3 linked regions of the Mus musculus genome follow. The protein of the gene in region 2 purifies or fractionates together with the protein of the main gene of each other region. This does not show direct contact. Links are inferred from orthologs where the notes say so. Each region holds a gene or a part of one and is shown on either strand. Other genes may lie near its edges.

Region 1 (3,652 bases), on a different chromosome or scaffold from region 2:
GGCAGTGGTGGAATTGGATTACATCTATGTGGTGGCACAACCCTCATAGCAGCCGCTCATACAGACACCACTCGTGACCAGTGCACACCAGACACAGAAAGAGCCACTGGTTCATGTACAGCCTACAGAGAAATGGCAAGCACAAGGGGAGCACAGCTTAACAAACTCACGCGCTCAGCACTTCTGAGCTCAGCGACCCTCGCTGAGGTCTGGCCGTGTGGACTGCTTACCTTTCTGGAGTATATATATAAGTTAGGTGTTCTGCCTGGAACTGGTATGCCGGCTTTCGTTAGCTTTATGAAGTACTTCTGTACACGACTGGCGACCTAAAGAAACATGACGGCTCTTTCAACATAATGAAATAATCTGATATTTGAGATGCTTTAAGTGGTTAACAATTAAATTAAGAAGTAACTTTTAAATTGCCATCAAAGACATTTATAAGTTATAACCTAGACAAAACCAATTCAAGTCAATTTCCATTTGTTTGATCCCAAAGCTAAGCAATCATTCCTCCTGGTGAGCACCGAGGAGCACACAGGAAGCCCTATCTGCCAGTACTACAGAAAAGAAAACAAGACAATCAGGGATGGTATTAATGAAATGCCACAAAATCCAATAGCACAGTCTAACAAAAAAGGACATTGTCAGCACACTCACTAAACACTCAAGAGAGGCAAGGTCCAATACATACATAAATACATGTGTGTATATATAATTTGTATATATTACACACACACACACGCACATGCATAATGTTTTACATTGACACTAAGCAGTGTTACTTATGCTGTTCAAGCTAGTGACACAAAAGTAAGCAGGGCTAATCAGTTTAAAACTGATACACTACAGCTAGCAATGCTATCAACTGTCCGTGGGAAACCATCTACCATTCAGTCCGCAGCCATTCCCATCACCTGTTTGGCTGTCCGGTTGCCCAGTTCATCAGCAATCTTCTGCCACCGCCGAGATTCTACTTCTTCGGGAGGGTATTTCAGGAGTAGCTGTTCGAGTTTTTTCTGCACCAAATCCAGGAACAAATTTTAATGGAATAAAGGATTCCATTTAAAATACTGGATTTCTGAATAAATACACTCACATTTCATTCAAAACACAGTAAAGCTTTCCCAACTCTAGATGTCATATCACGTTATTAGAGATTCTCAAGGTAGGAACCGTTCCAGGTAGGAGGCTAAGGTGCCACAGGCAAAGTGAGATTAGAGGAGACACCTATAAAAACCCTTATAAAGGCTTCTATTCAATTCAGTGGCAAAATAGCACAAGAAGTCAGAGGAGATATATAGTGGAGCTGTATACATCTCAGTGAACACCGCTTCCCAACTATCTTTTCTTGATTGAACACACTCCCTTCAGCTTTAACAGAAAACATGCAAATTCACTGGATTTGGAATAAGAGACTCTTCCTCTTTTGCGTGATCTGTCATTCAAGCACCTGAGTGAATATTAAAACCCTGAGACACACAACATTTAATCCATAAAATCAAACTTCCTGGGCTTTTTATACAATCCTCAATTCAGCTGAAGGGAACACACAGGAAATGTTCCAAGAATGCCAGTCTAGCTTCTCAGTTCCCCCACAACAGAAATTAAAATGCAACTGATAACAGCTTTGCTTGTCTTGAGGCTTTTCTTTCTCACAGCTGCTTTTAAGAGTATCATCCATGTCTACCCTCCTTCTCAAACCCAGGTTTTTTTCTCAAACAATTTGTCTTCAAAACCCAAAATTCATAATACAAAAAGGTTTATAAGTACTTCTAAATATTTTAAACTCATAATTTAAAGAAATTAAATGCAAAAGGAATGAAATGCAACAGTTAACGCTTGCCTAACAACGCTGTGACAGTCTAGACTTCCTTTTAGCCCAAAGAATCAAGAAGCGTGCATGTGTCACCTGTTCTTCAACAGTCCACAGCTGGTTGAAGGTCTCGGGCTTGCTGTCGTCACACAGGCGACCTCTTATCATCTGCATATAAAAAGGGCTTTAGGTAAATGGAAAATACAAGGGTATACTCAAAGAACACCCTTTAGAATTTTCAAAACATCTTTGCGTAATTTTTAATATATACATCACCTATTTACTGAATTTGTTTCCATATTCTTGTAACTCCTTTCTAGACACAGGAAACATGGGTTCAAATTGAAAACTAGCAGTCCAACTGAGACAAGGCCACATCTGAAATCCTGGTCACACTTTATAGTGCACTGGGACTAGGAACAGCACCCACAAGGCCCACTTAAAATACATAAAACCCCAAAATGTGACCAGCACAAGTTACATCTTATAAGAACATGCAACTAGAAAACTGGGCATAAACAACAGCAAAAGAGTCGTGGCTACCAGTCTGAAGGCAGATTTAGGTTTCCTCTTAACTTGAAAGTTCATGTTCTCATTGTTTGTCAGTAAACAAGTCTTCAGCTTAAGAACAGAAATCAGCACACCGTTCAGTTTCATGCTATTCAGGTGTCTCACACTGCCTACCTGAGGACGGTTATGGGAGCCTTCTGGACCATCACTCAAAGGCAACATGGAGTACGAAAGGGATTCTCCATCCTTCTTAGGATCTAAAGGACTTTTTGGTCTAGCGGGCAACCCTACTAAAAATCAAATCATACACACAATTATTCAATTAGGACACTACAAGACATTTTCCTCATTAAATTCTTATCGTGTGGGTTCTTACCTTTATCAAAAACTAACTTAACTCTCCTAGTATGTCTTTTGCGGTGTTTAAATTCTCTTTCAAAGTTCCCAAGGCTATTGGTGTACTGGTCCCACATGATCTCAGGTAACTGAACAACTCTCTGTGGGTATGGAAGCCCTATGTCAGCCTGGGACAAAAAAGACAAAACAAAATAAAAATATCAGAGTGACAGCGTACATTTAACTCAAAAATAGGTAAAATCAAAATGTGTTATAATAGGCACATTGTAAATACTACTCATAGAGTGCTAAATACGACGTGGTAGTAATATAGTGTGCAGCGATGCAGAGTGTACCGGCAGCAACTTTATACACACACACCACACCAAACACCTATCAGCTCTAAGAACGAGCACAGTGAGTGTGCCAGATGCAACAAATGATGAGACACACAAAATGTGACGTTAGCCTAAAGGTTGTGGCTATTCACCCTTGCCACATAATCATTATGACAACATTCTCTTTCTCAAAGTGCTGGGGGTCAAACCTGGGGGCCTTGTACAAAACATGCATGTGCTACAACCACAGTTACATCTCTTGCTCAAATTATGACATCTTAAAATTCTAAATTAAATCTAGGACAAAGAAAAGCAACCTAACTTTTGAATCTTTACTGAGTAGGTGGATTTTAATACACACCTGCTCATCTTTGTAAAGCTAAGGTGTTCAATAACACATCTCTTTCTGAATTTAAAACATTTCTAAATTAAACCTAGAAATGAAAAACAAGCAAATAGCTAACTGTATATAAATCTAGTAACTATAACCTGCAACTAGAAAACTAAATGCATGTTTTTACCAGAACACAAATAAACCAAGATTAAAGTTAATACATTATTACTTATTTCTCTAACACTTTTAATTTAACTTGCCAGAACTTGTCATTTTAAGAACATCTTTGTGCTCAAACTGTTTATAATAATAAAAGAT
Region 2 (4,249 bases):
AAGTCAATGTCCAGTGTGTTTCCTAAGGGTTTTCTAGAAAGATATGTCTCATAACACGGAAACTTCTCACCAGGTAGTGATTTATTAGAACAAAAGTATATCCAGAACACTACCAAGAATATAAAATTAATATCAAAATCAGTCAAAACTTTAGAGGGAGAAGCTTCCACCTGTACATTTGACTGAGTATAAGGGAATCACTATAAACTTTGCTAGACACAATTCAAGTGGAAACAAGTCAATTGTACTTATTTTGCAATAATAATTTATTAAAAATTATGTCATATTTTCTACAAAGTAAAGATGCATGTTTCATGAGCTCAAATACAAATTTAAAGAGCTGTAAGAATAAAAAACCAAGACATGTGCTGATGGATTACTTTCATATTCAATAATAAATGCAGTTATCTTAGTAATCTTATCGTCAAATCTTAACTTAGTGTAAGTTTACCTATGTCAGTATAGCCTATGTAAAATTTCATATTTCTTTATGTTTGCCAAATGTGGACTTAGATGCCCCTGGTCTTAGGCAGTAGGTTTCTGTATCCACTATTTATACAGTAGAGTGCTTAACATAGGAACCTGAGATCTCTTTGGTTCCATGGACAATTCATGTCTTGTTTTTTTATTTTTACAGTTCATTATTCTTGCCACAGTCAACTATAGAGCTCTTGGCAGATTTATGTTTGGGGAATAAGCAGGCAAACCTTAAACCAAAGCAAAGCATCACCCTTTCTAGAGAAAATAATTATAGGAAAGAAATCTTAATATTTGGATCATATTCTCATGTCAGTATGGAAGCTTTCAAAGGCAACTGGAGACACTTGATCTTTTATGGAAACCAAACAGTAAGGTGACAAATTAACTTAAAAATGGCCCCCAAATAATCCAATTATTCATTCAGCAAATTCCCCAGTAACATATGGATTCTATGAATTTTTATCCCATAATCCTTGGGACAGTAATCAGGCGTTCAAATTTTTCTATTAACACACTATTAACACTGACTACTCAGTCATGTATGTTCAGTAGAAACACATTAGTTGCATTTGAAGGAAAAATGCTTTTTAACAATTCAGTTTTACACTTTCTATCGAAAAGCGCTAATAATTCAATGATATTTAAGGTGAACTTAGACATATTACAATTTACATCTTAAAAGTCCCTTTAATTTGTTGCGAAAGGACACATTCCGCAGGGGCAACTTTATAAGTGTGGATGGCTTTCATCCTTAATCACGCATCTCAAAATACATATTACTAAAATAGCATTTAATTAATTTTTTAAAAAATCTTATATTTGACACTTGTTAAAGGACCCTTTACTGTTACAAAAACTTCATTTTCTCTACACATTTTTGGCAAGTGGCATAAGTTAAGTTTAATCATTTTTCCATTTGAACCTTTGAGATAAATTTATATAATTAAAAAACTCAGTATGCAAAATTTAGATATTTTATAATTCAAATAATTTATCAATGTAAATTATTTTGCAATTTCTAAGCATAATATTTGAGAAGATTTTTCTCATCTTGACATTAGAAATATAAATGAATAAATCTTTAAGTTCCAAATCCACGCCAAAAAGTTCTCTAACTTTTAAACTATTTAAAGATCTGAGATGTTACTACTGAAATATTAATAAGGAAAGTGCTTAAGACTTTGTAAGAATTTTTTTCCTAATTGCTTATCAAGCAACTGAGTTTAATTTTTTTTAACTTTTCGAAGTCCAGTAACACCAAACAGAATGTACAACTCAAGTAGTTTGCCAGTCAGAATAAACTTACTAAGGTTTTCCAACTAAGGATTTTAAAAATAATCCTCACAAATCAGGTAAATGTCCTATTCTCACTGGTGGTACCACTGCCCTTGACATAAATGTGTGCTGTGTCCATTTCAAGCACTATAACCAGTCCCCAAACAAATTAGGAAACATGTTTGACACAAAACTCTTCTAAAAGCAGGCAAACATACTTTTGTTCCTTATTTAAACATTGCCTCATTTACATCACGACTATCTAGTAAAGTGTAACCTAGTTTTTAAAATCCAGGTTTACTGTGACATTTTCTGTAAAGAGCAATTAGCTAAGCTACACGACAGTCGTAATGTAGTTAGAAGTGGCCACACATAACTCATCCAACAATTCACACTAAAATTTAGGTATACTACAAATGAAATTGTGGAAATCCTTATATATCCCTCCCCGTTTAAAAGAGTAAGAGATGCAATAAATGGCAAGAGAAACAAAAAACAGAAAAACAAACAAATAAACAAAAAACCCCAGAGTAAATCACCCCCCAAGGAGTGGGGATGGCGCTAGGAAAAGTTTCAGGCCATATTAACCAGTGAGTTTCTGCGATAAATACACTGGAGGCAAAAGGACCGTGATCGCCAGGAACCTCCTTCACCCTCATCACCTTTTAGGCATCTTTTGGGCAAGCTTTCGTCGCCAGGACCCCAGTTTTCTCCAGACCTTGGCCATCAAGCGTGCCGCTGGCATCTCCCGGTCCCAGGAGCTGGGCCCAGGGTCTTCCGGGTGTCACAGCCCGGCCACGGCACACCAGCGGCACACACCGTGCCAGCGGGGCTCCGCGACCCCCGCCTCCGAGAGAACTAAGGGGACAAGGACCGGGATGCTCTCCCTCCCCACCCACCCCTTCCCCGCCGCACCCCCACTTACCTGTCTTGTCAGGGTGTGCAAGGAGCGAAAGACTTCGCAGAGGACCTCGCGGGTGAGGAGGGGGCTGGAGCATTGCTCCAGGCTCCTCTCGCTGCCGCTTGAGGAACTAAGCTCCGCAGCAGCAGCCATGACACCTTCAAAGCAGCCCCCCAACCACCGCGAACAGCGCTCACCCCACCCCTCCCTCGCGGACTTCGTCGCACTGAGATGACGTAAAACTAGAGCGTCTCACTTAGAGCTTGAGGATAGGCCCCACCCTCTGTGTGTGACAGACACACAGGAAGACCAATCAAGAGCAAGGATAGCTGTGCTCCGAGGGAACTTGTGTATGTGAAGCTGGACCTTCTGTCTGGTGGTGTTTTCTGTGGTCCACCTTGGTTTAGAAACCTACTTGGCTCTTAGATGCTCCCTGTGAATGTTGGCAGAGCCTTACTCTTAAGTGTTAGAATTTGAGTCCCGCTATTAAAATTTAAAATGTTAACAGTCGAGTTGTCTTGGAAAAAGATTGCGGGTTAGTGATGGAGCAGTGCTTTACAATTTTCTAATTACTAGAAACTTGACCCAGGATGATCGTTACTGGATAGAACATTTTCATCTCTATAAGACTGTTTGATATGAGGAATTTAAAAAGAACACAAGGGCTACATTATGCTTCTTTTTCCTACCATAGAACGACATTGATGACTACACCTGCAAAATAGTTTATGTCAAAGTTCTGACATGCAACGGGTTCTCAGTGCAATCACTGGACACTTGACCTTAAAATTGTTTCAATATAAATCCAATAGAAATATAAACCAGCCGGGCAGTGGTGGCGCACGCCTTTAATCCTAGCACTTGGGAGGCAGAGGCAGGCGGATTTCGAGGCCAGCCTTGTCTACAGAGTGAGTTCCAGGACAGCCAGGGCTACACAGAGAAACCCTGCCTCAAAACAAAACAACAAGAAAGAAAAGGAAGAAAGAAAGAAAGAAAGAAAGAAAGAAAGAAAGAAAGAAAGAAAGAAAGAAAGAAAGAAGGAAAGAAAGAAAGAAAAGACCAATTTATTCCATGTAACCACACTCTTTAAAATTAGGATATAAAACTAAATCGACTCTTGTTGGGTATTATTAGATAGCTTTATTTTAGCGAAAAAAGTTATAATTTTATAATGTAGAGTTCTATTAATTTTTTTTTCCTTTGAGACAGGGTTTCTCTGTATAACCCTGGCTGTCCTGGAACTCACTCTGTAGACCAAGCTGGCCTCAAACTCAGAAATCTGCCTGCCTCTGCCTCCCGGATGCTGGGATTAAAGGCATGCTCCACCATGCCTGGCTCTATTAAATTTTTAAAACAAGCTTAAAAGATAAAGGACAAAAGAATTAAAACTCTGGCGGCAGTGGCTCAGGCCTTTAATCCCAAAGCACTAGGGAGGTAGAGGCAGGTAAATCCCTTATGAGGCCAGCCTGGTCTACAAAGTGAGTTCCAGGACAGCAAGGGCTACACAAAGAAACCAAAGCTCGAAAAGCAAGCAGGCAAGCAAGCAAGCAAACAAACGATTTAAAACTCTTCTTCATGATAGTTGAGTGCATT
Region 3 (3,652 bases), on a different chromosome or scaffold from region 2:
CAAAGCTTACAGAGAAAGGCTGGTCTAGCTAGCCAGCTTTCTGTAGAGATATTGGCCTCCTCCTCCTCCTCCTTCCAAGGGCTGGAATTAGAAGTCGGTCAGCATGACTGCCTGGCTTTTGTGGGTGCTAAGGATCTGACTTTTGAGTCACACATTTGGAAGGCAAGTCATTTTACCATAGCCATCTCCTCAGTGTTTTTATTAAAGCAAAACATTTTACTGGTATTTTTCAAATATATAAAAAGGTACCTAAATATAATATACGAGCATGCATATGAACACCTGTTGTATAATGTGTAGATGGAGGTAAATAATTAGATCAACCAGCATTGAAGGTTTGAAAAACAAACTTGGCCGGGCGTGGTGGTGCACATCTTTAATCCCAGCACTTGGGAGGCAGAAGCAGGCGGATTTCTGAGTTCGAGGTCAGCCTGGTCTACAGAGTGAGTTCCAGGACAGCCAGGGCTACACAGAGAAACCCTGTCTCGAAAAACCAAAAAAAAAAAAAAAAAAAAAAAAGGAAAAAGAAAAACAAACCTTCTTAATTTATATATCAAGCAGACAAAATGTCCTCCAGGCCTGGGTTGCTGGATGCTCAGGGATTATTCTACCCCCAGCATTGGGAAACACAGATTCTTGCTAGGAAGAAATTAGAGATTTAATAACAACAACCAACACATTCTATTTGAGGCGATTAAAACAGTCTTTGACATCTATGATCATAGAAATGTATTACAGTTTTGAATTCACTGTGTAGTCAAGGAAGACCTTGAGCTCCCAATCCTCCAATAAATAACAGAAACCAAGCTCTATGTCAAAAAACAAACAACAAACAACAAACGAACAAACAAATAAACAAACATAAAAACCAAACCCATATGTTTAGGCTTGGAAAGATGGCCCAGTGTTTCAAAGCCCTGGCTGTTCTTGCAGAGGACCCGTGCTTGGTTCCTAGTACCCATGTCAGACAGCTCCCAGTTACCTGGAACTCCAGTTCCAGACAGGATCTGACATCCTCATACAGACATGCATGCAGGCAAAATAGCAATGTATACAACATAAAAGTAAATAAAAAATTAAGACAAAGAAACATGCTTTAATAACTCATATGTCAGGTTGAAAGTCATCTTAGAAAATAAGCAATCTTTAAGATGGATCTGGAATTGGCAGTGGTGGTGATCTCCCTTCTCTTCCACCACCACTTTTTTCCCTCCTGAGACAGCCATTAGTGCTATTAGAAAATTAGTAGGGAGACCAGTGTGAAAATGTACATCTATTATCCCAGCTTTCGGAAGATAGAAGCAGGAGTATTACCACCAGTTTGAAGCTAACCCGAGCCATACACATACACATACACATACACATACACATACACATACACATACACATACACATACACATACACATACACACACACACACACACACACACACATATACACATACATATACACATACACATACACACACACACACATACACATACACACACACACACACATATATATGTGTGTGTGTGTGTCTAATACTAATAGTCTAATACTATATATATATGTATATGTGTATATATGTATATTATATATGTGTGTGTCTGTGTAATATTGATGGTCTAATACTATATATATGTATACACACACACACACCCACACACACCCATATATATAGTATTAGACCATCCAGGGATACATGGCAAGACATTTTCTCACTCCACATCTCCTCCCCAAGTACATTAGATCCATCAGTATGTATTTCCATTTCAAACCATCCATTTTTTTTCTTTTGCCTTTTATTTTGAACATCACAGGAGAAAAGAGGAAAATGAACAACTCTCATGCTCCCGAGGAGGCCAAGAGATCTCGAGTGATGGGGGATATTCCCGTGGAATTGATCAATGAGGTCATGTCTACCATCACAGACCCTGCAGGGATGCTTGGACCAGAGGTCAGCAGGGTGAACAAGGCACCTTCTGGTCTCCCTGCCACACTAGCTGTCACAGATGAGGGTGGGGTGCTGAGAACACACTGCTGGTCACCTGTAACCTAGAGGCCACTATAGGGAGGTCAGGAGTGGCTAACCAAGATGTGGTTCCCTTTGATAAATATCAATTACAGGGGCACAAACTACAGTTTCAAGTAGTTGGGAACGTTTCCATAGTGAAGAATTTCAAGCTTCCACCAGCAATGCAAAAGACAAAACAAAAGAAAACAAAAGAAAACGAAACACCCATGGACTGTGTTGTGCTGAGAAGCGTCAGTGATTACCTCCTTTTTTCCTTTCTTGACCTCCTTTTCCTCTCCTGTGAACCTTTTAGAATCATTGCAGAGTCCGAAACAGATATAATAATACATCACACCTAGTGCATCTGCCTGTGTCTCATAGGAAAGCAATTCTCTTATATAATCACGTGAGTTAGCACTCAGGAAATTTAACTTCATTATAAGGTTCTCTGGTTTAGGGTTGGCAGACTGTAGCCTACCAGTCATGTCTGCTGCTCAGCTTGTGGGCTAAGGAATTGGGTGTCAGCTTCTTACTCGCTAGGAGTGAAGGTGTCCAGCGTCGTAGGCTGGAAATCGCTTTTCTGGGCTGTGTTAATTGCTAACCATTGCGCATAGCAGGAAAATGGAATCACTGAGGCTTGGAATGTGTGTCTTGCAAAAAAAAAAAAAAAAGTTCATCTCTTGACTTTTCAGTGGAAAGTTTGCTGACTTATGGCCTAATTTTCAACCTCTAGGTCCAGTGACCATCTGACCAATTTATGCTATTCATAATATGCGTTATTGTTGGAGGCTCAGTTAAGAACCAAGCATAGAATTCAGTATTCATTTCTTCATCTTTTTATCTTCCTTCTCTCTGTCTCTGTCTCTCTCCTTCCTCCCTCCCTGCCTGCCTCCCTGCCTCCTTCCTTCCTTCCTTCCTTCCTTCCTTCCTTCCTTCCTTCCTTCCTTTCCTTCTCTCTCTCTCTCTCTCTCTCTTTCTTTCTTTCTTTTTTTTTTCCTGGACTGGTCTCATGTAGTCTAGGCTGATCTTGGACTATCTATATAGCCAGGATTAATGACCTTGAACCACCTTGCTAGGTTCATGTGGTGGTGGGGATCAAGTCAAGGGCTTGTTATATGCCATATTCCATACCTCCGAGCCATATCCCCGGCTCCTTAGTCTCCTTTAAAGCCATTCTCCAGGCCTTTTCTCTTCTCTTACAATGCTGTCTTTGTTGAGGAACTTTGTTAGCAAATTATGCATAATATCTCAGTGTGGATCTGTGTAATAGTTTAGGTCAATGCAGGTAAAACATTTTGGTTGAAAGTCTGCTCTCATCTTATTGTAAGACATCCAGGAACAGGGAGGCTCAAGACGTTTCCAGGAAATGAACACATGACTTGGGTAGTAGTGTATAAACAACTTCTATCTTTTTGGTGTGGCTTTGCTAGATTAAATCAGTAAGTTTCATACTGCTCTGTTTTTGTGACTCTTTTATTAATGTCAAAGATCATTTGGAGGATTGAGTGTTGCAACAGAACCATCTCATAAAATTCATTCCTTCTGGACTGACTATCCAGTCTGTGGGGACCTAAAGCTGACCTTCTGTGTATTGGCTTTAGGGGTTTCGTAACTTCATACATGAGCCAGAGCTTGGCCTGCTCAGATGAAAAGTG

What was found.
Region 1: the proteins of Mbip (region 2) and Zzz3 purify together in Homo sapiens (affinity purification with mass spectrometry; 4 studies listed by BioGRID and IntAct, counting the BioPlex papers as one, with this or other methods). This does not show direct contact. The link is inferred for Mus musculus from reciprocal best matches to the Homo sapiens genes MBIP and ZZZ3.
Region 3: the proteins of Mbip (region 2) and Kat2b purify together in Homo sapiens (affinity purification with mass spectrometry; 4 studies listed by BioGRID and IntAct, counting the BioPlex papers as one, with this or other methods). This does not show direct contact. The link is inferred for Mus musculus from reciprocal best matches to the Homo sapiens genes MBIP and KAT2B.

The regions. Positions count from the first base shown.
Region 1 is NC_000069.6:152,447,977-152,451,628, reverse strand, and holds part of Zzz3 (ZZ-type zinc finger-containing protein 3), read right to left. Parts: intron 2,851-3,652; coding exon 2,703-2,850; intron 2,617-2,702; coding exon 2,501-2,616; intron 1,985-2,500; coding exon 1,913-1,984; coding exon of another isoform or gene 1,847-1,912; intron 1,020-1,846; coding exon 918-1,019; intron 327-917; coding exon 231-326; intron 1-230.
Region 2 is NC_000078.6:56,342,992-56,347,240, forward strand, and holds the start of Mbip (MAP3K12-binding inhibitory protein 1), read right to left. Parts: upstream 2,904-4,249; 5' UTR 2,810-2,903; coding exon 2,681-2,809; intron 1-2,680. UniProt on the Homo sapiens protein: Inhibits the MAP3K12 activity to induce the activation of the JNK/SAPK pathway. Component of the ATAC complex, a complex with histone acetyltransferase activity on histones H3 and H4.
Region 3 is NC_000083.6:53,646,944-53,650,595, forward strand, and holds part of Kat2b (histone acetyltransferase KAT2B), read left to right. Parts: intron 1-1,803; coding exon 1,804-1,940; intron 1,941-3,652. UniProt on the Homo sapiens protein: Functions as a histone acetyltransferase (HAT) to promote transcriptional activation. Has significant histone acetyltransferase activity with core histones (H3 and H4), and also with nucleosome core particles.